Bombyx mori: one gene and its partners. The main gene of each other region encodes a partner of the protein of the gene in region 2 in a complex. Links are inferred from orthologs where the notes say so. Each region holds a gene or a part of one and is shown on either strand. Other genes may lie near its edges. The genes, in order: U6 snRNA-associated Sm-like protein LSm6, ubiquitin carboxyl-terminal hydrolase 39, U4/U6 small nuclear ribonucleoprotein Prp4, U4/U6 small nuclear ribonucleoprotein Prp3, U5 small nuclear ribonucleoprotein 40 kDa protein, pre-mRNA-processing factor 6 and peptidyl-prolyl cis-trans isomerase H.

Evidence for each region.
Region 1: ubiquitin carboxyl-terminal hydrolase 39 (region 2) and U6 snRNA-associated Sm-like protein LSm6 share a complex: the UniProt entries of both Homo sapiens proteins name them as parts of the U4/U6-U5 tri-snRNP complex. The link is inferred for Bombyx mori from reciprocal best matches to the Homo sapiens genes USP39 and LSM6.
Region 3: ubiquitin carboxyl-terminal hydrolase 39 (region 2) and U4/U6 small nuclear ribonucleoprotein Prp4 share a complex: the UniProt entries of both Homo sapiens proteins name them as parts of the U4/U6-U5 tri-snRNP complex. The link is inferred for Bombyx mori from reciprocal best matches to the Homo sapiens genes USP39 and PRPF4.
Region 4: ubiquitin carboxyl-terminal hydrolase 39 (region 2) and U4/U6 small nuclear ribonucleoprotein Prp3 share a complex: the UniProt entries of both Homo sapiens proteins name them as parts of the U4/U6-U5 tri-snRNP complex. The link is inferred for Bombyx mori from reciprocal best matches to the Homo sapiens genes USP39 and PRPF3.
Region 5: ubiquitin carboxyl-terminal hydrolase 39 (region 2) and U5 small nuclear ribonucleoprotein 40 kDa protein share a complex: the UniProt entries of both Homo sapiens proteins name them as parts of the U4/U6-U5 tri-snRNP complex. The link is inferred for Bombyx mori from reciprocal best matches to the Homo sapiens genes USP39 and SNRNP40.
Region 6: ubiquitin carboxyl-terminal hydrolase 39 (region 2) and pre-mRNA-processing factor 6 share a complex: the UniProt entries of both Homo sapiens proteins name them as parts of the U4/U6-U5 tri-snRNP complex. The link is inferred for Bombyx mori from reciprocal best matches to the Homo sapiens genes USP39 and PRPF6.
Region 7: ubiquitin carboxyl-terminal hydrolase 39 (region 2) and peptidyl-prolyl cis-trans isomerase H share a complex: the UniProt entries of both Homo sapiens proteins name them as parts of the U4/U6-U5 tri-snRNP complex. The link is inferred for Bombyx mori from reciprocal best matches to the Homo sapiens genes USP39 and PPIH.

The regions. Positions count from the first base shown.
Region 1 is NC_085134.1:2,613,317-2,617,605, reverse strand, and holds the start of U6 snRNA-associated Sm-like protein LSm6, read right to left. Parts: upstream 2,801-4,289; 5' UTR 163-2,800; coding exon 72-162; intron 1-71. Other genes in the region: GATA zinc finger domain-containing protein 1, read right to left, coding at 2,947-3,113, 3,611-3,797, 4,036-4,289. UniProt on the Homo sapiens protein: Plays a role in pre-mRNA splicing as component of the U4/U6-U5 tri-snRNP complex that is involved in spliceosome assembly, and as component of the precatalytic spliceosome (spliceosome B complex).
Region 2 is NC_085121.1:4,081,172-4,085,285, reverse strand, and holds the start of ubiquitin carboxyl-terminal hydrolase 39, read right to left. Parts: upstream 2,801-4,114; 5' UTR 2,679-2,800; coding exon 2,618-2,678; intron 2,538-2,617; coding exon 2,389-2,537; intron 2,153-2,388; coding exon 2,038-2,152; intron 1,292-2,037; coding exon 1,116-1,291; intron 893-1,115; coding exon 667-892; intron 504-666; coding exon 380-503; intron 281-379; coding exon 121-280; intron 1-120.
Region 3 is NC_085130.1:18,531,980-18,534,307, forward strand, and holds the end of U4/U6 small nuclear ribonucleoprotein Prp4, read right to left. Parts: intron 2,053-2,328; coding exon 1,931-2,052; intron 613-1,930; coding exon 520-612; 3' UTR 501-519; downstream 1-500. UniProt on the Homo sapiens protein: Plays a role in pre-mRNA splicing as component of the U4/U6-U5 tri-snRNP complex that is involved in spliceosome assembly, and as component of the precatalytic spliceosome (spliceosome B complex).
Region 4 is NC_085130.1:18,544,909-18,549,103, reverse strand, and holds the start of U4/U6 small nuclear ribonucleoprotein Prp3, read right to left. Parts: upstream 2,801-4,195; 5' UTR 1,567-2,800; coding exon 1,439-1,566; intron 574-1,438; coding exon 258-573; intron 1-257. Other genes in the region: U4/U6 small nuclear ribonucleoprotein Prp4, read left to right, coding at 2,801-2,966. UniProt on the Homo sapiens protein: Plays a role in pre-mRNA splicing as component of the U4/U6-U5 tri-snRNP complex that is involved in spliceosome assembly, and as component of the precatalytic spliceosome (spliceosome B complex).
Region 5 is NC_085109.1:1,114,844-1,119,030, reverse strand, and holds the start of U5 small nuclear ribonucleoprotein 40 kDa protein, read right to left. Parts: upstream 2,801-4,187; 5' UTR 2,571-2,800; coding exon 2,454-2,570; intron 2,143-2,453; coding exon 2,016-2,142; intron 1,455-2,015; coding exon 1,251-1,454; intron 930-1,250; coding exon 687-929; exon of another isoform or gene 125-686; coding exon 1-124. UniProt on the Homo sapiens protein: Required for pre-mRNA splicing as component of the activated spliceosome. Component of the U5 small nuclear ribonucleoprotein (snRNP) complex and the U4/U6-U5 tri-snRNP complex, building blocks of the spliceosome.
Region 6 is NC_085109.1:9,950,173-9,953,672, reverse strand, and holds part of pre-mRNA-processing factor 6, read right to left. Parts: intron 3,323-3,500; coding exon 3,189-3,322; intron 1,699-3,188; coding exon 1,548-1,698; intron 629-1,547; coding exon 518-628; intron 1-517. UniProt on the Homo sapiens protein: Involved in pre-mRNA splicing as component of the U4/U6-U5 tri-snRNP complex, one of the building blocks of the spliceosome.
Region 7 is NC_085116.1:6,472,058-6,475,057, reverse strand, and holds peptidyl-prolyl cis-trans isomerase H, read right to left. Parts: upstream 1,585-3,000; 5' UTR 1,245-1,584; coding exon 1,161-1,244; intron 1,072-1,160; coding exon 895-1,071; intron 813-894; coding exon 519-812; 3' UTR 501-518; downstream 1-500. Other genes in the region: coenzyme Q-binding protein COQ10 homolog A, mitochondrial, read left to right, coding at 1-331. UniProt on the Homo sapiens protein: PPIase that catalyzes the cis-trans isomerization of proline imidic peptide bonds in oligopeptides and may therefore assist protein folding. Participates in pre-mRNA splicing.

The DNA of each region.
Region 1 (4,289 bases), on a different chromosome or scaffold from region 2:
TATGTGGTTCTTAAAAGACGAAGTGATTGTTATTACTAACTTAATAAATAAAATTTGAAAGGAAAACAAACCTCTATAGTCAACGCCGCTGTTTAATTTAACGACAACTGGGCGACCGTGAATCTGCTGTATAAACGAGGACAAAGCTTCCTTACGACTCATTTTTTGTGTTTATTTATTATTCTGATGAAATTGAAGACACGAAATACATTAAATGAAACTTAAAAATTTTCAAATTGGTCAAAGCGGGTGTTTTGATTACTTTTGATCTTTTTTTAAAGGTTTTTATGACTTGGTATCTAATACCTTTAGGTCGTCTTATTTTAATTTTAATGAATTTTTTAAAATGAAAAATTGTATTAATATTATGAAATGAAATGAAGTTGATTACTATGAAACATGGCATGAAATGAAATGTAATGAATTGAAATGAGATGTTATGAGATGAAAAATAATCTCAGTAAAATGGTGGTCATTTACTGAGACTTTTTCAGTGGACTTTTTGGAGGATGCCGAGAAGTTTGACATTCTATTTTCAAATCCAGTTATTTGTTTGTTGATTAGTGTTTTGTTTTCACTACATTTGTAATATAATGTATCTTACATCAATATGTACACGATAGAAAAGAGTGAATATGGAGAGTTCCGTCGCCGTGGCAATGCCGCAAAACGGCTCATATTATGTTTGGTATTTAAGAAATAATGTGTATGTACGGAAAGAACACTACAAAAGAACGCACGATTGGCCTGTACGGTTCAGCACAGAAGTTTTGATTTAAAACATTTTGCAGCTTTCAACGTTAGGATCAGAAGAATATTAGTTCATTTGGGTCAAGTTGGTGGGCAAAACTTGATATGTGGCACCCCCACACGAACTGAACGATCGTCACCCCATTAGGGTATCTTGAAGCATATTGTCATCTACGATGAATTATGTTGTTTATAATCATAAGCGGTCACATCAAGCTGGTCATTTGCGATGAAAAATGGATTATTGTTTATAATCATAAGCGGTCATCAAGCGGGTTGCAAACACACCCTGATTCAGAACTAGAGGCGACTTTACCTATGGTGCGAGGTGTGTGTGAGTTGCAGATGCGCGCTGCGGTTTTAGGGTGCACCGGCCTCTGCATTCTTAATGAATCAGTTAGATTTGTTCCTTTTTTTTTTTTTTTTTTTCGGGCCGGGGGCCGAACCTCCTACGAGGTCCCCGCGCCTAGGGGGCGCGCGGGGTATGTGAGACTCAGCGATCTGCAGGTGTTGAGAGCAGATCGCGGGCCCAAGGATTTTAGGGCCCACCCACCAAACGACTCCCCTGCACTCTTACACCCGACGTCCGATCTCCGTCCGGGGTCAGAACCCGTTCAGTGTAGGGGGGTTCCCGCGGTCAACACTACAACCAGACACGCGGCGCCACCCCGAGGACGCCCGACCGACGGGTCGTCGAGGCGATAGTCGACGACCAACGACGTCGGTCTCCGCGGTACGGCGGCCCTACCAGGCCGCCCGGGTGGTGCCGCTGGTGTTCCGGGATACCCCGCTGGGCCAGAACCAGCCTGCCGGGTCGGAACGCGATACACCGCCGACCGGGTTGCTCTTCAACAGTATGTTCGGCGACGACAGCGACGACGAAAATGCGGACCGCATCGCAGTCCGCAGCCGCCGACGCGCCGTCCCGTCCTCCTGGTGCAGTTAGATTTGTTCCTAGTCCAACTTGATTGCACGCTTACTAGAGGGCGCTAGAATAATTATTGCACTCGGACATTACATGGACTAGAGGTTCAGTACAAAGGCAATGCCTCAAATGAAAATCTATCTCTAAATATGTCATGTTCACTGTTTAGTGGCTTTGTTCTGGTATAATTCATCACAGCTTCCTACCAAATAGCATCATTACTACAGATGTGTATGGTGAGGAACAGGATACAATGATGAAGAAGCTTTTGTATCTCCAGCCTGCCCTTCTTAATCGCTTGTCCACACTTCTCCTATATGACAACGCTCAACCTCATATGGTACAATCGACCGTCTTTAAGCTACAAGAGGTATGGATGGAAGTTTTTGCATCCACCATACACACAAGTTGTTGCGCCAACAGACTTACTATTATCCTTTTTCCAAAGTTTGAACAACTTCTTGGTAGGGTAAAAATGCAATACCCAAGAGGTTAACTGAAAATAATTGGGCTTCCATACGCTCCACTTCTTCAAGGGCATTGAAAGATAGGCAAAAAAATATCAGTGATCTAGGGAAACAGCATAGTTACTACTTACTACTATGAATACTTATACCAAATTTTCTGGAGGAAAAAAAATGTTGGTTGGTTTGAATGATTAAAGTGAATGATGTGTGTTATTGAATGATTGATAACTGTCCACTTCGATAAAGCGGCACGACACGAGAACCCTCTCATCGTGGCCGCTGGTAACTACATTCCCGATCCTGCGGACAGAATGGAAAGCAGTCGACGTCGCCCAAAACACGTCATCTCGGATCCTCCTGATCCACTAACGGTGCTTTTAGGTACTTAAAGCACCGGTCACCGTTCTCGTCGAACCCGTCGCTTGCGACGAAGGGCTCGACGAGTAAATTAACTCTCAGACACAGCCCACTGAGTTTCTCGCCGGATCTTCTCAGTGGGTCGCGTTTCCGATCCGGTGGTAGATTCTGCGAAGCACGGCTCTTGCTAGGGTTCGTGTTAGCAACATCGTCAGGTTTGAGCCCCGTGAGCTCACCTACTAAAGTTAGGGTTACGCTGACAGCCGCTAGGGCTATCAGCTTAGGTAGGGAAAAAAAAAAAAAAAATTATAACTGTGAATGATATCGAAATTCAAATTGTGCTCTAAATTTAAATAAATGTTAACTACGGGGTATATGGGGTAATAAAACTAAACATAAACAGTATTTTTTTGTAACAAAATGTTCACTTTGCTTAAATATAAAAGTCTACGTTCTCTCTTTAGCTTCCATCGAAGTCCATACAAAACCAGTATAATTATTCAGTTCATTATCAGTCAGTGGGTATGGACTGTTGCTCGCTTTGTAGTAATCAGATGGAGCATGCATCACAAATTCCATGTATTCCAGTTTCCGAGGCAGCTCTTCTTCAGGGCCTGAAAATTTACAGCAATATTAACCTTAACTGTCACATTTTTTATATACACTATTCTTTTTTTTGCTATATGGCAGTTGAGTTTTCGTGATGCTATTGTTGCCAGTATTGAGTTAGTAAAAATCATATTTACAAAATAAAAATAAAAAATTAAGCTGAATTTAATTAAGTTGGTTTATTTCATTATATTCATTATATTGGGATGAAATTACATGATATAGATTGAAACAAGACGAGAGGAAGTGAAATCAAACAATGCAGGCTTTTTAGAAATGCCGTGTCAAGCGACTTATTTCGTTTTCTGCTATTCACGAGCTTTGATCGAATACACATTTAATGAGTCACTATTATTACAAGTGGAAAATCTAAAGCACTAAATTTACAAAATGAAAAAAATCACCCAAAATGCCTTAGATATTGAATAAATACTTTAATCACCTACTTCTGCCTGTTGCAAATATCTGTATTTCTAATTAAAATATTATTAAAAGCTCATACCAATGATATATGTAGCAGGATCAAAACATTTCTCTGGAGGTGGGCTCGCTTTTGTAGGTAATAACCAAGTAACAGCTGCACTCTTCTCACAGTACTCATCAGTTAGGAAGCCTCTAATTTGGGCATAGTATGTGCCACCATCAATGTCAGTCATCGAAACAATATCACCAACTTGCATGTACATACCCTGAAAAAATTACCACAGACTATTCAAAGCAGAACCGAGGTAATTTTTCAAGTTTTCATGTTTACTGTGAATAATAAGTTAGGGTTTTTTAAATTAAATTAATCTCTAATCAGTTTTTAAACTATAATTAGTATGCGATATAGCCTCAAGATTATTGAAAAATAAAAAAAAAGGTATATTTCTACAGCTGTTGTATATCTAACTACAGATTTTAATTGGATTAAATAATTGAACAGACCTGATAAAATACTGAATCACTTGTAACAACAGTCGCTGTAGCTGTTGGTGCTTTCAATGGCTGCCTTTTGAATAGACTCCTGCGTCCTCTGCCCCGCGGCGCCGGCTGCTTCAATGGCGGTGGAGCAGGTGTTTTAGGTTTGTATCTCGTTGATCTAGTGCTTTTCCTAGTGCCCTTGCCGGTAGCTTTAGCCGGCGTAGACTCCTCATTTTTACCATTATCTTTGTCTTCCTTAATGTCTTCACAATCGGTTT
Region 2 (4,114 bases):
TTTTTGTTTTAAATCCTATTTAAGTGGATGTGAATTGATATAAAAAAACCAGTCTTAATAAAAAAATAAAAAAGTTAGTGAATACAATTTTTAAATTGCAACAATACTAGGTATTTTCACCTGTGGAATAATATTTTCGCGGAACTCATCAGTGAACAATGGCGTTGGAGGCAAATCACATGTGAGGTACAAAAATGGAGACTCAGTGATCATTTCATTGTACTCTTCACTGCTAAGATCGACTTTAGCTGCATCATCAGCATCCGGCGGTGGCAACTTTCTGAAAATTTCAGTCTGTTCAGAAATTTTTGACTGCATATAATGATAGATTAAATGTTAATTATTTTGAACTTTAAAAAATCAGATGCTTAAATCTTACCTTGTATAGATCCTCATGTGACCCAGAAATGACTTATAAATTATGGAGCTATTTGGCTTCTTTGTACCATTCAGTGCCATGTGTAATGAATTTAGAAACCAAGACAGAAAGTCTATTGGATCACCTGAGCAAAAATTTATTTATTTATAAATTTTTATTATTATTATAAAACAATATATAATTAAAATATAAAACTGATCAATCAATATTCATACTTTTTAGCATAATATACAGAAATTACACTAAGAAAGCATGTTCGTATATCCAAAAAACTACTAAAATCTTACTCTGCTTAATAAACTGATATCGCTTCTTAGACCACAGCACAACAGCCTGCAACATCTCGTGAGGAGATACATGTGCTTTAAAAGCACGGGGGTTCCATAGTTTGCGTAATAATTCACCAAATCTTTGTACAAGTAAAAAAGACGAGTCCCCTGGTGGTCTTTTTACACTAGCATAGTTCTCTTCTCTCAAAAAGTAGTTACGTAGGGGACGTACTTGTGACAAACACTAAAATCATAAAATGAATTTAGTATAAAACTGTGACAATATTAAGACTTTGTAGCACTGTGTAATTATTCACTACAAATATACATAATGGTTAAAACAGAATCAGTTTGACTGTAACGCATCTACTTTCACAGATCGCCGGCAACAAAAATATAAGTCGCATTTATCATACAATAAAAACAGTACATATCATAAAATGTATTTAATAAAAACATATACTGACCTGCAAAATTACATTACAGTAATCATTGGCCTTGATATTATTAAGGCCTACAATGCCAGGCATATACATTGTGCCATCAATGGCTCGTGACATCTTTGTGTTAGTATCTATAAGCTTGATCTGTTCAGGTGTGAATGTTGGGTTCAAAACATATTTGATGTCATTCAATGAAGAGTCTAAAATGTGAAATTGTCTTTTTTTATGACTGTGATAGGTAGATTAGCTCCCGGCTCATCTGATGCTATGTGATTACCCGCATCCCTATAACAGGAGTTCTAAGTCTCAGTTTTACAGTACAACAGTAGCTGTCCCCTTCACCAATGCACATTATTGCTTCACGGCAGAAATAGGCAGAGTGGTGGTACTTACAAATGCAAGCTCTTAAGTCACCCTTAGAACAAATTATAATTTATGCAAGTTTATTATAATCACAAGATGGATTTGATACATTCCTTCACCAACGAAGTGTTAAATACATATTAAAAAAATTGGTACCTGCCAACAGAATTCAAACACCACCACAGTTGCACTGCCCAATACAAATGCACTGGGTGTCTTGTCCATTAGACTATTACAAGTTTTAAAGCTTTACTGTACTTCTAGTCATTGATACCTAAATTTAAGCTTAAAAGTATTTTACTTGATTCCATTTTGGTGTATAAAATTTTAAAAATCAGTCAAATTTTCCTTATTATTAATTTACTTACAAAAATAAAGTCTAACAATTTATTTTAAGTTATCGCATGTGTTAACAACTGTAAAATGCACCAATTCTTAATCATAATATTTTATAAATATTTTCAATGCACAAAATCATCAATTGACCGAATTCATTTATATCTTATTATTATTTTATTTATAATTAATTTATATCTAACATAAAAGCTATTTTAGCTAACCAAGTTAAAAATATGTAATTTACCAATAACTTCATAATTGTCAGGAAGACAATAGAACTTTAATGTGTTAAGATTCAAAAATACATGGTGTCCATCAGCCACTGAATGTGTGTAGGCATGAGTGTTGGTGCCTCTTCCCTGGAAAGTAGATAGATTTTAATGATTTTTTCGCAAGTGATTAATTCAAATTTATGCCTAAGTCAACATAAATAACCTATCTTACATATCACTACAGCAAAGAACTGGAATGAAATGCCAGGAACAACACTGGCGCTCATAAAAATCGTCATCATGAAAACAAGTAACTTGCCTGTAAAAAAAAGTTCAAGCCTCTAATCACCAAAGCCATGACAATTGCATAAATATTTTGTTACCTGAAAATATTTACCGCACACTAAGCAAGCGTAAACATTGATTCTAGTCAATGAAACCGAGCACAATTTCTCAAAGTCAAAATCTAAAACATGCCGATTGATAGTATCCAGGTAAGGACATTGAATTTGTTGAGTTTTCGAATATCGTCCTGAAAATATAATAATACTTTGATTACAAATAGCAGTAGAGTGCAGAATCATAGAAGGTTAGAATTGCATTATCAAGTACCTTGTTTGTCAGTCCCATTTTCATCAGTTATTTTGCGTTTTCTAGATTGTTCTTCAGTCATTTTATTACTATCATAGACTTTAGACAATGTAGTTAAATGAAGAATCTGAAATCTAAATGTAAAATGTAAATATTAATCGTTAAATGAACTTTTTATGGGATTTTATGATACGGTAACTAAGACCTTTAGGTCAGGTCTTAATTAAATTTATATTCTTATTTTTATGAAAAATGGTAATACGAAGTGGTATGAAATGAAATGAGATAATATAGTATGAAATATGAAGTCGTCGTGGCCTAAAGGATAAGACGTCCGGTGCATTCGTGTTGAGCAATGCACCGATGTTCGAATCTCAGGTGGGTACCAATTTTTCTATTGAAATACATAACAAATGTTAACGATTGACTTCCACGGTGAAGGCATAACATCGTGTAATAAAAATCAAACCCGCAAAATTATAATTTGCGTAATTACTGGTGGAAGGACCTCTTGTGAATCCGCGTGGGTAGGTACCACCACCCTGCCTATTTGTGCCGTGAAGCAGTAATGCGTTTCGGTTTGAAGGGTGGGACAGCCATTGTAACTATACTTGAGACCTTATCCATCCTCCAAAAAGTTCACTAAAAAGTATCAGTAAATGACCACTATCATAGTGAGATTATATTTTATACCATATCATCTCATCTCATTTCACTTCATATTATCATTTTTCATAAAAATAAGAATATAAATTTTATTAAGAGTTGACCTAAAGATCTTAGTTACCGTGTCATAAAATCCATTAAAAAATATTTTAGTAGGAGTATGTGTTCTATTTTCGAACTGGAAAGGCAAAAGTATGATACCATACAGCCTAATCTTTCATATTTTTTTGCTTATGATAAATGATTATATGAAATGAAATGAAGTTGATTAATTTGGAACAATAATCAATTGGCATGAAATGAAACGTAATGAGATGAGATGAAATATAGTCTCAGTAAAATGGGAATTATTTTCTGAGACTTTTTCAATGGACTTTTAAAAAGATCCCGAGAAGCTACATTTAACGGCTTTGTTGCATATTCATACATTTGTGCACTTTCAAAGGTATTATACAGTCAATTAACCACCATTATTACGCATTTTAATCTGAAAAGACACTACATAAATTAAATAAAACAATTGACACTGCTACGCTCATAGATTAATATTTGAAAGCTTCGCTCCTCGAATTTCCGCCAAAAAGTTATTATTTTGCCAATATTGTAATTATAGAGTAACTTGGCAATTTTTGGTAATATTTAGGCCTTGTCCGCACAGCGATATTTCACCGCGCGATTTTTTTCTCGTAATTCTGTAACACATTTAATATTATAGAAGTATCCGCACTGGCGGGAACGAAATCGCGCGGGAAAAAAATCTGTGACTTGATGCAAATTGAACGCGAAGCGGTGCGATTTATTTCCGCGCGAATATTTTGTATCGTGTAGAGTAAGTATGGCTATGTTCGCACT
Region 3 (2,328 bases), on a different chromosome or scaffold from region 2:
CAATGATGAGAATCTTTGTGGGAGTGAGAAATAATAATGTTAATTTTAAACGCCTAGAGGTGCGGGCGGGTACAGCTAGTACTATATAAAGGTAGATCTACCCTCCAAACAAACTTATTACTGCTTCAGAACTACACGAAGCGATATACTACCCTAAACTCCACCATTACCACTCCACAAATCCTAATTTGCCTCAAGCCCCCCCCCCCCCCTAAAGTGGTGGATCGAGAGCTCCGAGATTTTTGTTTTTTTTCCGTATAAGCAGACAAGCATACGGCCCACCTGATGGTGAGTGGTTACCGTCGCCCATGGACTTCAACAATACCAGGGGCTGAACCAAGCCGCTGCCTACCGTTAAGTACTCTCCGCAAGCCTCGTTTGAAGAAGGACATGTCATAGCGCTCGGGAAACACCGAGGAGGGGAGCTCATTCTATAGCCGGATGGTATGTGGCAAAACGTTCCCCGCACTCCGTTTTGGTATTTAACAAAAACATCCAGATCCAAGAGTACATCTTTATTTATATCAACTCCGGAGCCCACAACTTGAAGGTCCGGTCGTAGGAGCACGTGGCCACGTGTTTGCTGTCCCCAGATATGTCCGCGCTCATCACCTGCAACACGACAACGCGCTCACCACGTTACAACCAGACTGAATGGACATCAGTCTGATAAATATATAAATAAACTAGCGACCCGCCCTAGCTTCGCTTCGGAAACATGTCATTTATTATCGATTTCTCCACTATTCAATGGATGTTATTATACATATCGACGCTTGAAAGGCAAACGTGACTAAGCGAGAAAACTGCTTTGTACATAAATGATATGCAATAACCGTATTCGTTAGGTAAAAAATATATATTACTATGTCTATTAAAATCATTTCAATCCTACAGCTAGATTCGTTAAAATAGAATTTTTTTCAGGTTTTTCAACTTTAAATTAGTCTACTGTAAAGTTCACGCATTGTCGCTTAGTCACGTTAGCGTCGATATAAACCTTCCTCATCAATCACTATCTATTAAAAAAAACCGCACCAAAATCAGTTGCGTAGTTTTAAAGATCTAAGCATACTTAGGGATATAGGGACAGAGAAAGCGACTTTGTTTTATACTATGTAGTGATAATAACATTAGGTAAATTTTAACACGTCGAACGCCAGACCTGTGAGCTTAGTGCGAGTTTTCTAACGTTCTCGATAGCGTAAAAGTTAACTCAATTTTGTATGCAGTATGAACAGCGCCCCCTAACGGCAAACAGGCAAACGATCCCACTCCATACAAATATGAGCTAACTTTTACGCTAAGGAGAACGTTAAAAAACTCTTGCACTAAGCACACAGGGCTCATGTTTAAACCAGTGGACCACGGTGGACCCCTTGACCGCGAATAAAACTCTAGACAAATAATCAACGACCACACCAATTTCTTAATATTTGCGAAAAAAAAAACAACCTCAAAGATTTTTGGACGATGTCTTATATATACAGGGTGTCCCAGAAAGAATGGATAATACTGAAACACCTCATAGTACAGCTATTGGGGACACAAAATAAAAAATAAAAAAATATTTCTTAAGTTTCTTCATGGTTAAAATTTAAGTTCAGATTAATTTTTATAAAAAAATACACTAAGCTACTCATAAGATTTCCTGCATAATCCTTCGTATAGTCCTTGCAGAATTGTAGCGAAGGGATCATCTGAAGCGAATTGAGAATTTGCTCCTTAAGTGTTTTAAGTTACAAATTTATATTTCGGTAGAATTTTTGATTTATCCCGAACCCCAGCGCGTAACGATACATTTTTTGGGCAAAAAAAACTTTCCATGCACGTCGCTCTAGAGGTGGTGTTTTATCCCCCAATCCATAACTCGGTCCCCCTTTTCCCCGGGTGGTTCCCCACCTACAACGAACATACGAAGCGGTCATACCTTGTTGTCGTGTCCGCTGAGGGTCCGCAGTGGGTGCCAGGCCGGGTTGGACCACAGCTTCGCGCTCCGGTCGTACGAAGCCGTTAGTAGGAAGTGCCCGTGGCTTCGTTGGTATCGGACGTCTGATGGAGGAACATTACTCCGTGTTCAATGAGGCTTGGCTGTCACCCTGACATTGCCATGCCCACAATTAAGTTCTTAATAGTTAACTGTCTACATATTAAGGACCGACGACTTTGAACAATTTGAATCTAAACTAATATTATAAAGAGGAAAGGTTTGTTTGTTTGTTTGTCTTGAATAGGCTCCGAAACTACTGAACCGATTTAAAAAATTCTTTCACTGTTCGGAAGCTACACTATTCCTGAGTGACATAGGCTATAATCTGTTTTGAAAAA
Region 4 (4,195 bases), on a different chromosome or scaffold from region 2:
GTTACAACGGCTGCCCCACCCTTCAAGCCGAAACGCATTACTGCTTCACGGCAGAAATAGGCGGGGCGGTGGTACCTACCCGTGCGGACTCACAAGAGGTCCTACCACCAGTAATATGTGTAATAATAAATGTGTTAGAAAATGGAATCTTCAAACATATCCAATCAGGTGGTATATTTTAAAACTGTTATGTGCATATGACTGGTGGCTAGCAGGTTTGATCATCCAACCAGAATGAGGAAGTCAATAACACATACCTTAATCCTGTCTGCACTCAGGATAGCCATCTTCGATCCTGGAGTCTCTCCTTCGGGAATAGCGGGAAGATCATCAGTTCCATTCTTTTCCTCCACATCTTTTTTCTCCACATAAACTTTCTCATCTTGCTTTGAACCTTCGTACCGAGATCTCTTACCATCTCTATCTCTGTCACTCTCATGTTTCCTTTTCGATGAAGTTTTTGATGACGTTATCAGTTCCTGGGCCAATGCTATGACCTTATCGGTTAGTTTGCTTGCCTTTTTGGAGTCTATGTGCGATGAAAGTCGGTCAATAATTTTTCTACGTTCATATCTGAAATATGAAGAACAATTTTCTTAGTTACTAGTGGTAAGGTATGCCAAGGAATACAAAGCTGTAGCTTTTTTAATTTTCAGCAATGCGTAGTGTAGTAATATTAGAATATTAATATCATTTATCATTTGAAACATAAAATCAAAGTTACCATCTCATTTGTACAAATATTCAAAATTATAAGTTTGCAATAACGAGGTATATTATAAGTCAGCACAGGTAGGCATCGCAATGCTGACTGTTTTTGCCCCAAATTAATAATACATTCCGGTCTGGAAGATGGAATAGCTGTACAACCTTCAACCTTTTTTTAATGCCCTTGGAGGCAGACACAACGAGCATGCAGCCCACTTGATGGTCAGCGGGTACCGTTGCCCATGGATGATGTAATGCCAATAATAGAGCCAAGCCGCTGCCTATCATAAGTAATCTCGACAAGTCTTGTTTAAAGAAGGACATCTCATAGTACATGGGAAACACCAGAGAGGGGATTCCAAAGCCGGAAAATCTCATACCATACGAGTTTTAGGTCAATGAGGCACAGTGAACATTAATGTCTGTTCTTTAATAACTTAGAAATTGAGTAACTAGCTGTTTTCATAAGTCAATATTTTTATATATCTATGCTTGAAAGGCAAACGTGACTTTCGGTTTGAAGGGTGAGGCAGCCGTTTAACCATACTTGAGACCTCAGAAATTATATCTCAAGGTGGGTGGCGGATTTACGTCGTAGATGTCTATGGGCTCCAGTAACCACTTAACACCAGGCGGGCTGTGAGCTCGTCCATCTAGCAATAAAAATAAAAAATAAAGATATTTGATTATTTAAAATTCTGTTTGTTTACTATTCAACTAGCAAGCTCACCCGTTCGTCAAACACGACGAAACAGTCGATAGAATTGAGTTATCCGATTTTCCTATAGTCCTGTATATGGCACGGTCTATTGATGACCGGAGTTCCTCTACCTCGCGACGGGACAGCTGAAGTGCCATATCGTCACAACAACTCAACAGAACGAAGTCAAACAAAAATATATCTTTAGCTGTTTTTTAGGTTAAGTTTGACAATTTATATTCTAGCTTTTTATTCAATAACACGTAATATATTTCGGTTTAACTTAGATTAACACTTTTTTGGATTACATTTTATAGGTAATTAATTAATAATAATACATTTTTATTTAAGTCTATTTCTGTTACTATGTATTCCGTCAAAATTTCGCTTTGACGCTTTTGCGTTCATATGACGTTGACGTAAATTTACCAACCAAAAAATTAAAAATTTAGTTAACTAAGCTTTGCGATGTTAGTTAAAATTAATAGTGTAAATATTTATGATGAACAGCAATTTTCGTAACCGACACTTATATAGCAAAACCGCATCATTCCCGGTTGAGTATGTGGTGGCCGGTTCTAGTAATACTAGAAAGGTTTCCGGGGCATCACCAAACCCTTTGTCCAAGATGTGTAAGAGCATTTCGCCAGTGATCAATATACACAGACCTCTATTGTACTCATAGTCACCAGCTTGAAGCTGTCATTGATAACTATCGTTGCAGTTGGCTTAACTGCTCGAGCAGTTGGCAATTTGGATTACATAGTTTATAATTCCATTTATGTTCTTACATTTTCAGCACTTATGACGTAGCTGGTAACTATATACCCAATCCTACGGATCAAACGGTAAACAGTCGCCTTCGCCCTAAGCCCTAATCTCAGATTCTGCTCTTGCTAGGGACAATGTTAGAAATTTTGCCAGGTGTGAGCTCACCTACTCGTTTGGTGAATCTAGTACGAACCTTCGAGGAAAAGAAAAAGAAGAGGATAGTGTAGACGATTATGCTTCTATAAATAAAAAGTTAGACCGCATGATGCGATTTCTTCGTCATTTCGATTAGAAAAATAAAACAAAATACCAAGTTTGACTTCTGACATTAGTGACTTTAAGCTATAGATCGACTTGTTGTATTTACGACAATTTGCGTTAAAAACAGGAAATTTTAAACGGAAATCTTAAACAACATAATATATAATTATTATTAGTGTATATTTGCATTTCAATACAGTAAAAACAAAGTTTTTAAGCTCCTGACTGAGACAAAAATAAGGTTTTTAAAGCCTTTGATCAGAACCAAAACATAACCTATTAATATAATCGGCATTTATTTTAGCTTATTTATGTTAATTATTAATGAAAGTCGAAGTTTAATCAAAACAAAAAACCACAATGTCTGATGACGAAGATATCGCGTATCTAAAGAAACAGAAGCAGGTACATTATGGGTCGCTGGAAGAACAGGAAAAGGCGAGACTAGCAGCCTTAGCTGCAGCCGCCAAAGAGGGAGCAGAGGACCCCGGCGGCAAAGAACTAGGAGACATACAAATATCTAACGGTAGAGCCTTATTAATACGCTTTTATTAGCTTCAGACGTGTGTTAGTATGTAACGGAATCTTAGAACATGATTTTGACCCACTTCAAAACGTCGGATTAACTCGAAATTTGGTATACTTATTAAGAACCGATGACAATTCAATATTAATAAAAAATTGGAAAAAAAATATTGAAGAAATTGAAATTCAACTAAAAAATGAAATTAAATAATTATTTAAAATAAAACTAACAAAATACGCTTTTATAGAAAATCCAACTAAAAAATAATAAATAAATTTGAATTAAAAATAGCGTAAGAAAAAAATTTCTTATTGTAAAAAAAAGCGTGGGGTGCACTATATCAGTAGTTATAAATATTTTATGAACAGATAAAGTACAAGGGTTATTCTAATAATATCCTGAAAAGCAACCCATGCTTTTTTTTACAATAAAATATTTTTTTCTTACCCTACTATTAATTCAAATTTACTAAAATTTATTTTCTATTTTTTAGTTGGATTTTCTATAAAAGCGAATTTTGTTATTTTTTTAAACTATAATTTTTTTCGGTTTGTTGTCAAAGACTATTAATGACTTAACTGATGTTAGAACGTCTTGTGAGTCCGCACGGGTAGGTATTACCACCTGTCAATTTCTGCCATGAAGCAATGCGTTTCAGTTTGATGAGTGAAGCGGCCATTGTATTATAAAACTGGGATTTGGAACTCATTTCACAAACTAGGGGGCTGCATGGTTGTCTATGGGCTCCGGTAACCACTTTACACCAAGTAGGCCATGAGCTCATCTACCCATATTTTTTTTCGCTTCGGTTTCCTCGATACTGAGCATTGTGACCACCCATCTAAACAATAATAAAAAAATACTTGGAGTGCTTGTGTGTAGTAAGTGTTTATTGCTAGTTGTGTTGACAGTTGTCACTTCGATTGCTCAAGTTACGTCAAATAGCAGCATTCTGGTTGTGAACTCCAGTCTCCACTTAACGCTAGGTGACCGTGAGTTTTATCCGTTGATTGCAATAATAATCCAATTCTGTCGTAAATTTCATTATTGTTAATCGCCAAATAAGCTCAGTTAGCCTTAGATGAACCGCTGAGTGTTTAATATTTACTGTCTGACAGAGGATACAATTTTTTAAATCAGAATGTTTTTTTTTTTTTCCGAATGCAGTTTCTAAATCACGAAGAATCAGCAAGATACCCAATGCTTGTTATCTTATGACTGTGCAACAA
Region 5 (4,187 bases), on a different chromosome or scaffold from region 2:
TGGTGGCCAGACATTAATTTGACACAGCGTTCTGTTGGTGCAAACGGTCTAACGTCCCAAATACGGAGTGTATTATCCATTGAATTGGACAGGAGATATGCACCATCCCATGACAATGATAATCCTGGAAACGAGTATTGCAACACAAGTTAGACATTGCCAGTCATTAAATGTATCAAACTCATATGATTTCTATTCACATATTTATTGCCGCACCTGGGTAGATGACTTCACGATCTACAAGTAAACTAAACAAGTAGTCTTAGTCATGAATTATTACTACTTATAAGGCTAGAGACATTCTAATAATAGCTGTTACATTTCTCTAAAATTACCTAATACCAGTTTGGGCTACCGAAGGCAGAATGGGTGAAGAAGTTTACAATACACCCGTCAACAAGTAACAACAGGGATTATAAAGAGAAATACATATGTATGCAACTACTACTACTGTACTGCATACCAATCAATCCATTCTCATTTCCTCATAAGATCAATATTTGTTAAATACATTGTATGGTAATCAGTATTTTAGTAGTTAACTAATAGACTGAAGTCATTACTGTCATCATATTGCCCTCACTCCACTCTAGATAAACTGTATCAATATTTTAATTTAATTTCTGGTTGCAGTATTATCACCTAATAAAAATCTAATTAATCAGAATCAATAAAGAATTACCAACCTGTAACCGTGTCTGTATGTCCTTTTATTTTCAAGGAAATCTGATTATTCCTTATATCCCACATTTTGATGACATTGTCCACACCGCTGGATAAAATTTTTTCAGCTGTATCATTGAAGAGTACACTTGTGACTGGATATGAACTGTCAAACGATGCAACTGGATTCCTTTTCCTTGCATCCCATAATTTTATGGTGTTATCATCTGAAGCTGAAACTAAGAGTTCTGGACCTCTTCTTGCTCCTGGATATAGAGATAACACGAGAAAGTTAGAATAGATTGTTACGTTGTCTAAACCAATTTTTTAATGGATGCCATGAATGAATTTACAGTTCTATTGTATCCACAGGCATTGAGATTTTAGATTGATGTTATCTGGTTTCAAACCATGGTTACGGATTATAGTTTCAATTTTAGGTCAATCCCACTTTATTTGGATCCAATCACTTTAAGGCTCTGAGAGTGCAAAGTAATGTTTAATTAAGTTACTGTTGTGTATTTGTACTACTAAAAAGCACTAGCATGAAAACCATTGTGTGTCAAAACTCAAACTATGAAACATACCTGAAACAGAGTTCACAAAGTTAGCGTGACCCTTTAACTTCTTGATTCTAGTCCCGGTGGGTACGTCCCATACTGCTACAGTATTGTCCGTAGCTCCAGTGTACAAATGTGAACCATCAGGTGAGAAGCAAAGCTGCATTATTGCTCCCGTGTGACCTTTCATCACCATCACATTCTCGCATTGACCATACACATTCCATATTACTGTGAAAATAAGAAATCAAAAATCATAATATTACTAAGTTGGACTTGTACAGCTTATAAGTTGTCAACATGACCCTGACATTGGTGGAAATTTTCAATGGTATAAACATTTATTTTGTATTTTTTTATATTAATGGTGGCTTAAGCTAAACAGTTTATATCAGCTATCATTTTGAGTATTGTATCATATTGTTCCCTACATTATAGGGCTCGTGTCACTAAAACCCCAGTACAGTGTGGCCCATGCCTGGGATATTGGTACTGGCAGTCATTCTTAATAATGCATATTAAATCAAACTGAAATGGATTTGGACTTCAGAGAAAATTTAAGACGCTGTAATATAATGTCTATGGTCTCCAATAATCACTTATACACTAGGTCAGATTTTACCTTGTTCACTCTTTTCAATTAAATTTAAAACCTACCTACTGTAATCTTATAATTTGTGTTATCAAATGTGTCAATTCTTCATTAACGTTTTGATAGTAGTATATTATTAGAGTGTGAATTTTAGAAACACTTTGCCAATTCAAAAGCTTTGTCATGATTTTGTTACTTACATATTTGTCTGTCAAAGCCTGCAGAAGCCAAATGTTTGCCTTCAGGATGAAATTTGCCTGTGAAAATTTCTCCTTGGTGTCCTTCCAACAACATAATTGGCGCATACAAGTTTGATGTTCGTGGAACCTAGAACGACAAGAATATAAAATACAAAACACAGGAATCTTGGAATCTTGTTGATCACTACAAATGTTGAAAAATAAATCTTAAAGTAAAAGCCGACTAAAATTCGTATTACCTTAAATTTTAACAAATATCAATCATGATTACCTAAGTACAGATTGTGTTTTTCTAAAAGTTTATTTTAGATGTTATGTTCCATTTCTAATAATTATAATTATGATCTCTTGATGCTTTCACCGTGGCGTTAGAGTTCTTAGCTTTTATAGACCGTACTATTGAGAAAATAAGTAAACTTTATTGAAAACAATACTCACAGATGAAGTAACAACTGCCTTTTCTCTGGTGCCGACTACTGAGATCTCATGCCGTACTCGCTTGGAGGGTACAAGAGACACATCCTCTGCTTTTCTTTTAGTTTCTATATCTGGCATTTTTTAAGATGTTTATTTACCTATTTGTTTTTATAGCTACAAACAGAAATACTAACCTTAAAAATGGTATAAGGACTGTTTAGCTTGTTTCATTTGTCAATTGTATAGGCAAAAGGAAAATAGCCAATATCGCCAAATTCTTTGTAACAAAAGACAAAGCTACCTTCTAAAAAGTTTTTTTTTTGTATACCTATTCAGATGAGAAGATGAGATAATGAGTCATTCAAAATGAAGAACTTAAAGTGTTTACTAGAGCCCATAGTCATCTACAATGTAAATGCCGCCATGCACCTTGAGATTTGAATTCTAATGTCCCAGTTTTTAAAGTACAATGGTTTTTTTTCGGGCCCGGGGCCGATCCTTCTAAGAGGTCCCCGCGCCTAAGAGGGCGTGAGATATGTGGAACTTTACGATCTGCAGGTTTTGGGAGCAGACCGCGGGCCCAAGGAGTTTTAGGGCCCTACCGCACTAAACGACTCCCTTGCACATTTACACCCAACGTCCGATCTCCGTCCGGGCTCAGAATCCGGACAATGTAGGGGGGGTTCCCGCGGTCAACACTATAACCAGACACGCGGCGCCCCTCCGAGGACCCCTGACCGACGGGTCGTCGAGACGGTAGTCGATGACCAATGACGCTGGTCTCCGCGGTACGGTGGCCCTACCTGGCCGCCCGGGCGATGCCGCTGGTGTTCTGGGATACTCTGCTTGGCCAAAACCAGCCTGATGGGTCAGAACGCGATACACCTCCGACCGCGTTGCTCTTCCACAGTATGTTCGGCGACGATAGTGACGACGACAATGCGGACCGCATTGCAGGCCGTAGTCGCTGACGTGTTGTCCCGTCCTCCTTGTGCCAGCGCGCTAGAGTGATGGTAGGTAGCGTGCGGCGCAGCCTCAACCCCCTCAGGTGAGGGAGTTGGCCCGGGGGAGGCCCCGTGACCATCACCGGGAGGAGACTGCCTCCTCAAAAATTCAATGGTTGTCCCAGCCTTCGAAATGAAACGTATTACTGCTTTATGGCAGAAATAGGCAGGGTGGTGCTACCTATCCGTGCAAACTCACAAGACGTCCTACCATCAGTAATTATGCAAATTATAATTTTGCGGGCTTTGTTCTTACTACACGATGTTATTCCTTTACCGTGGAAGTCAGTTTAGTTGATATGTACGTATTTCATTAGAAAAATTGGCACTTGCCTGCGCAATTCGAACATCGTTACATCGCTACATACGAATGCACCAAACGTCATATCCTTTAGGTCACGACGGCTATAAATCATTTGTTTAAGTTACAATTTTTTCACGTGTAGCCCCGATCGCTTTGTTTGTGTAATGAACTTTTAAAAGAGACGAGAACGCATTTTTTTTTTTTTATTGCTTAGATTGGTGGACGAGCTCACAGCCCACCTGATGTTAAGTGGTTACCGGAGCCCATAGACATCCACAACGTAAATGCGCCACCCACCTTGAGATACAAGTTCTAAGGTCTCAAGTATAGTAACGACGGCTGCCCCACCCTTCAAACCGAAACGCATTACTGCTTCACGACAGAAATAGGCAGGGCGGTGGTACCCACCCGCGCGGACTCACAAGAGGTCCTACCACCAGTAATTAC
Region 6 (3,500 bases), on a different chromosome or scaffold from region 2:
TACTGGAGGCGCCTCCGACCTTGAGATATGAGTTCTAAGGTTTCAGTATAGTTACAACGGCTGCCTCACCCTTCAAACCGAAACGCATTACTGCTTCACGGCAGAAATAGGCGGGGCAGTGATACCTACCCGCGCGGACTCACAAAAGGTCCTACCACCAGTAATTACGCAAATTACAATTTTGCGGGTTTGATTTTTTATTACACGATGTTATTCCTTCACCGTGGAAGTCAATCGTGAACATTTATTAAATACGTATTTTGTTACAAACATTGGTACCCGCCTGCGGGATTCGAACACCGGTGCATTGCTAAATACAAATGCACCGGACGTCTTATCCTTTAGGCCACGACGACTTCAAATGTAATGTTTTATTTTTTTAATTCGGCCTCATTTTATATAGCGTAAGGCCAGAAGGTGGTGGTCGTCCTTTAAGCAGTATCGGGCCAAATTTGGAATGATATCAGCCGTCAGCTCGACAGTTTATATTGCTATAAATAATAATTAGACTACTAACCGTCCTATTGAACCATTCCCTGCATTTGTTTAGTTTCCTCTCCGTCCAGAACAACTGTGAGACAGCCAGCAGCACGTGGGCGTCGTGTTCGCATTTCTTCAACGCATCAACCTGTAGAATAATACCAGTATTATAATTGAATAGGCAATTTCGAAAAGGGCACATGTCGCATATTTTGTCAAATACGTTTTTTCATATACATGTAGTTTTGAGGCTTACCTACACCCATTTTATAATAATTCCAGTAATTTTCAATTGCTAATTAACACTAAAATATATATCAAAAGTAAATATTTTAAATTTTAGACTGCTTTAGAAAATAATCAGCTTTTTTCATTTCCTGAAAATTTTACATTTTCAGAGATGTGCCCTTTTCGAAACTGCATATTCAATTACAATTCATCATCATCATAATCTGTTACTCTTGGCAAAGCAGTCGTGGTCTTACGGAAGCATTGTTTATTAAAACAAAACAAAATAAAACATTTATTATTTATTACAACTAAAAATGGTTAATTATGTGTTTTTCTTCTAGTGGGTAGGCCTTTAAAATTATCACAGTTTTACTATAGATTCGGAGTGTTGAGATTTTATTACTGCGACTAATCGGCATGACACTGAGTGCTTGTTCTTTTGACCTCACGCCTCAAAGGTGAGTGACGACTTTACGTTGTTATGTTTAGGAGCTCAGCTGAACACTTTACAGGGTGTGCCATTTGCCCAAAAAGTACTTGAATTTAAGGGTGAGTCAATTGTACTGAGATGCAATGACGTACCTATCTATACTAATATAAATATAAATATAAATCTACAGTGGTTTTTATGGATGTTCCGCTATAACTACTGAACCATGCGTCCGATTGATTTGAAACTTGGTATCCATGTAGAAAATACATGTACATGTTGCGGGGGCGTTAATGATGGGAATCTTTGTGGGGGTGAGAAATAATAATATTAATTTTAAATGCCCGGCGAAGCGGACGGGTACAGCTAGTTGTATTATAATTTATCTTATAGCCTAACAACTTACACTTTTAGTCTTCCTCTGCGGTCTCGATTCCATGAAGATAGCATCCGCCCACAGTCGACCGGCAGATGGGCACTCTTGAAGAGCTTTCGCCATAACGGCATTAGCTATTTCCGGGCTTCCGTTTCGTCTTTCCAATCGCACACTTTCTAACCTAAATAGAAGAAAAAATACAATCAATTCATTATGCTTATCTAGGAATGAAAACAGAATTTGGAAAACAAAATTCAAACGAGGCTTGTGGAGAGTATTAAGGGGTAGGCAGCGGCTTGGCTCTGCCCCTGGCATTGCTGAAGTCCATGGGCGCCGGTAACCACTCACCATCAGGTGGACCGTATGCTCATCTGCCCACAAGAGCAATAACAAAATAGAAATTGTATACAGTGTTTGGTTGATTAATGAAAGTAGTCGCCCTAAATACGTTATTACGGATCCTCTCGACTTTCATCAGTTGAATAATTAAAGCAATTAAAATGACAATGCGTCCCTCCGGAATCCGGTTACTGCACTGTTGAAGGTTTAACAGTGCTTTTAGGTACCACAAGCACCGGTCACCATCCTCGCCGAACCCGTCACTTGCAACTAAGGGCTCCACGAGTAAATTAATCTACAGACACAGCCCACTGAGTTTCTCGCCGGATCTTCTCAGTGGATCGTGATTCCAATCCGGAGGTAGATTCAGCGAAGCACTGCTCTTGCTAGGGCTAGTGTTAGCAACTCTCTCAGGTTGAGCCTGTGAGCTCACCTACCAGTACGATTAGGTAACGAAAAAAAAACCTCAGGCGTCCAGACCGAGCCATAATGTACGATCCCACACCGCATTCTAGTCTATAAGAATCTCTCTAGATTCTAGAGTATATGACAGTGACTAGTTTAAGAAGTGTTATATTAGTTAGCGTATAGTCACTGGACATGGTTTCACTTGAATTCACTCAGTGTCCTGTAAACTCCCGCCAATTCACTGTGATTATTGTTGAAGATATGACGTGATCGAATTTTTATCTCGACGCTGGTACTGCGATGGACACAACGAAAACAAAGTAATGAGTATAATTATCGTTCATAATTCTGCTCCTTTTTGGTCATTAATGGAAATAAATGATTATTACCATACGGTTTTTTGTTCTTTTTTTGCCTTCATTTATGAGTCAGTGCGTCTGCCGCCGAGCGTTCCCCTCAATATTTTTTTAAGGGATTTTATGACCTAGTAACGAAGACCTTTAGGTCAAGTCTTATTTTAATTTTAATGAAAACTTTTTTATATAGGAAAAATGATATTATGAAATGAAATGAAATGAAGTTGATTAATATGAAACAAGACATGAAATAAAATGAAATGCGATGAGATAATATAGGATGAAATATAATCTCAGTAAAATGGTGGTCATTTACTGAGACTTTTTCAGTGGACTTTTTGGAGGATCCCGAGAAGCTACATCCAGCGGCTTTGTTTGATTTTCCCACAATTATGCACTTTCATAGATATTAAACAGTTAATAAACCACCATTATTACACATTTAAACCTGAAGAAACACTAAATAGACAAAATAAAACAAATCACACAACTTCACTCCTCGCGTTCCCGCCAAAAAGTCGAGTCCCCATCAAAGATAGACAGAAAGCACAGATAACGTATAACCTACCACAGTTCGGCATTTTTAGGATTCCGGAGCCTGGCTTTCTCCAGCACGGACCTCGCTTTGGTCACGTGTTTCAGTTTTTCTTCCAGTCTCGACAGCAAGATCCACATGGGGACGCTCGTTGGACATTTTTTCAACTGAAAACACAACATTTCGTTAGATTTTCGCGAGTATTTTTACGATTTCATTTAGTGATTGTTTGTTGTCTTTATAATTCGAGGGGTGAAAAGCTATTTCGTTTAAGCGACATTTTTGCCACTTTAGAGTTGAGCCATTTGCAGTTTAAAATTTGGGTAAAATATCATAACATAAAGC
Region 7 (3,000 bases), on a different chromosome or scaffold from region 2:
TCCTATCAATGAAAGCTACACTTCAAATGTTACGCTAGTCAAACCACATTTGGTAAAAGCAGAGTGTTCTGATGGAAGACTCTTCCACCATATGTTGACCCTTTGGAGATTCAGTCCTGGTCTAAAAAGAGAACAGCAGTCGTGTGTTGTGGACTTCCAGATAACATTCGAATTTAGATCAGCTATACATTCACATTTATCTAATTTGTTTTTTGACCAAGTTGCTCGACAAATGGAAGGTGCTTTCATTAAAGAAGTCGGAAGGCGCAATGGGCCGGCAACAATGCAGCCTAGAAAGTTACTAATAAACAATCACACTTTGAAAACTTGACGCTTACTAATTGCAAACCAAAAAAATTAGTTCAATTCAGTGTACATAATTATTGAGTATTTATTGTGATTACTTTATGTAAAAATTTGTGAATATTATATTTTATCTATTAGTCTGTTAGAAATGTGAGGCAGAGCCATTGTGATTTAATGATAATAAAAAGATAAAATTTAAAGTGAAGTTTTATTTACATTTGTCCACATTGAGATATTGTTACTGGTATTTTAGGTTTATTATTTGGTCCTGTTGGTACATTTTCTATTTTCCTCATGACAAGTAATCCATCTATAACTCTACCAAATACTACATGCTTATTGTCTAAGAAATTACATTTTGCACATGTGATAAAGAACTGACAGCCATTCGTGTCTTTACCACTATTTGCCATGGACAATAACCCTGGAGAGTCATGTTTCAAACCAAAGTTTTCATCTGCAAAAGTGCTTCCACCATATATGCTCATAACGCCTGTACCGTCTCCCTAAAATGAATAGTAAATATTAATAAACTTCCATCATGTTCAGTTAGGCATCGTTTTATCATAAACAAAACTTAATACGTACATTTACGAAATCGCCACCCTGAATCATAAAATCTTTTATTACTCTGTGAAAAGTAGCTCCTTTGTAACCTAAGGGCACACCATCCCGCCTGTATTCACCGGTACAAAATTCTCTGAAGTTCTCACTAGTTTTTGGTACTACGTCGGCGAATAACTCGAATATCATACGACCTATTTCCTAAAATAAACATAAATATTTTATAAACATAAATTTTTGTGTGTTCTTTTAAATCTAATAAAAAACAATAAGTTCGGGGAGGTATTTACCGTTGTTCCTACAGTAATGTCGAAAAACACTACTGGATTGTTAGGATTCCTAAGTTGTGACTGTATTTGGTTCCAAGTAGGCATTTCAATGTGTTAATATTGAAATTTTTACTAAAACAACATTACATTTGTGTTAACAATTTAAAACTTCTATAAGTTTTAGTTTGTTTGATGTTTATTGTTACCCGGCTGTCAAATTTTGAGGTTATACTTTTGACATCCTTTCCTTGACATTAGGTAGCTTACAAGCCTATTTGTCCAGATCTAAAAACGGAATTTCTGGTGACTTCAAAGGACAAAACTTCACGTTTAGCGAATTTGTTACATTTTAAGATTATAGCAGTTTCTTCTATTTCGGCGAATCGTAGATAATAATAAAACTATCCTAACCGTTTAATTTCAATTATTTCTAACGCTTAGAATAACTACATAAAGTATTCGTGATCACAGACGACTATGGTATTATTCGTCAACAATTGTATATTGGGCGGGACTTTTTTTCGGGGAAGGACAAAGTCGTGTAAATTATTGTATTTCGTAAATTGTGCGTTTCTTCAGATTTGAACGCCATACCTATCTTATAAGTTTTAATGGAACCTTATTTATTATCTAACAAATACCTACGGTGATGTCTTTCTTAATTCACTTCCTTAAATTTTATCCCATGAGCAATTAATTTAATTCCATTATTCCCCTTACCTAACATACATTTAAATTTATATATATTATATTTATATTTATTTAAAGGTTACAGTTTTGTGACAAGAGTATTGAAATTTGTATGGTCTATCTCCTTTTGCCCGTCCAATGAACAAATTATAGATAATACAATAAAGAATGAATTTCAAACAATCAATCAAAGACTGGGCCAGGCCATAAATAAAATACAAAAAAATTCTAATCAAAGACTGGGAAGTGGGAACAGCAATTGAATTAAAGAGAGGTAAACTATTTTTTATAAATAAAACTCTTTTACGAGTTTTTATTAAATATGGAAAGTAATGACCTACCTATTGATTATTATCAAATACTAGATTGCGATAGAACAGCAAGCCTTGAAGAATTGAAGAAAAGTTATCAGCGACTCGCTTTGACATTACATCCCGATAAAAATAAAACTGATGATTCTGATAATAAGTTTCGCCTATTACAAAAAGCTTGGTCAGTTTTAAGAGAACCTAGCACCAGGAAACAGTATGATGCTACATTAAGTTGCCATGAAAATAGTGATCTATTGCTTTATGAAACAGTAAGACTGTCTGAAATGGTGTTTGACAGTGATGAAAATGTGTATTTATACGATTGTAGATGTGGTGGGGTGTATGTGCTTAATAAAAGTAATTTTGTGCAATCTAGTGTAATAATTGGATGTGATGAATGTTCATTTTCGATTCAAGTGAATAGATAAAAAAGTATACATATTATTGCAGTTTTATTTATTTATTGTTTTATGTTTGGCTGATATTAAGTTTTCATCGGAACGAATACTTACAAAGTGAATGCCAACAACCACCACAGTGTAACTTAAAACTTTGGGTCGGTTTCATTTCGTTTACTTTTTTATGTTAATTAATCTAGATTTCAAAAAAACTTAGTTACTTTATGTAATCATTTTAATTATGTCTGATTATGAAATATTTGAAATTTAAAGTATAAAGTTTAATTATATAAATATAGTATTATAATAAATAGAGTATAAATATTGCAAAGTTCCAAAATATACATCTATATAGTTATCAGTATAGTTTAAAATACAGACATACAATAATCTCCTTCTGATTCTAATATTTAGTCATTCATTTTTTCCAAGTCCAATTCCTAACCATTTATTATTATTATT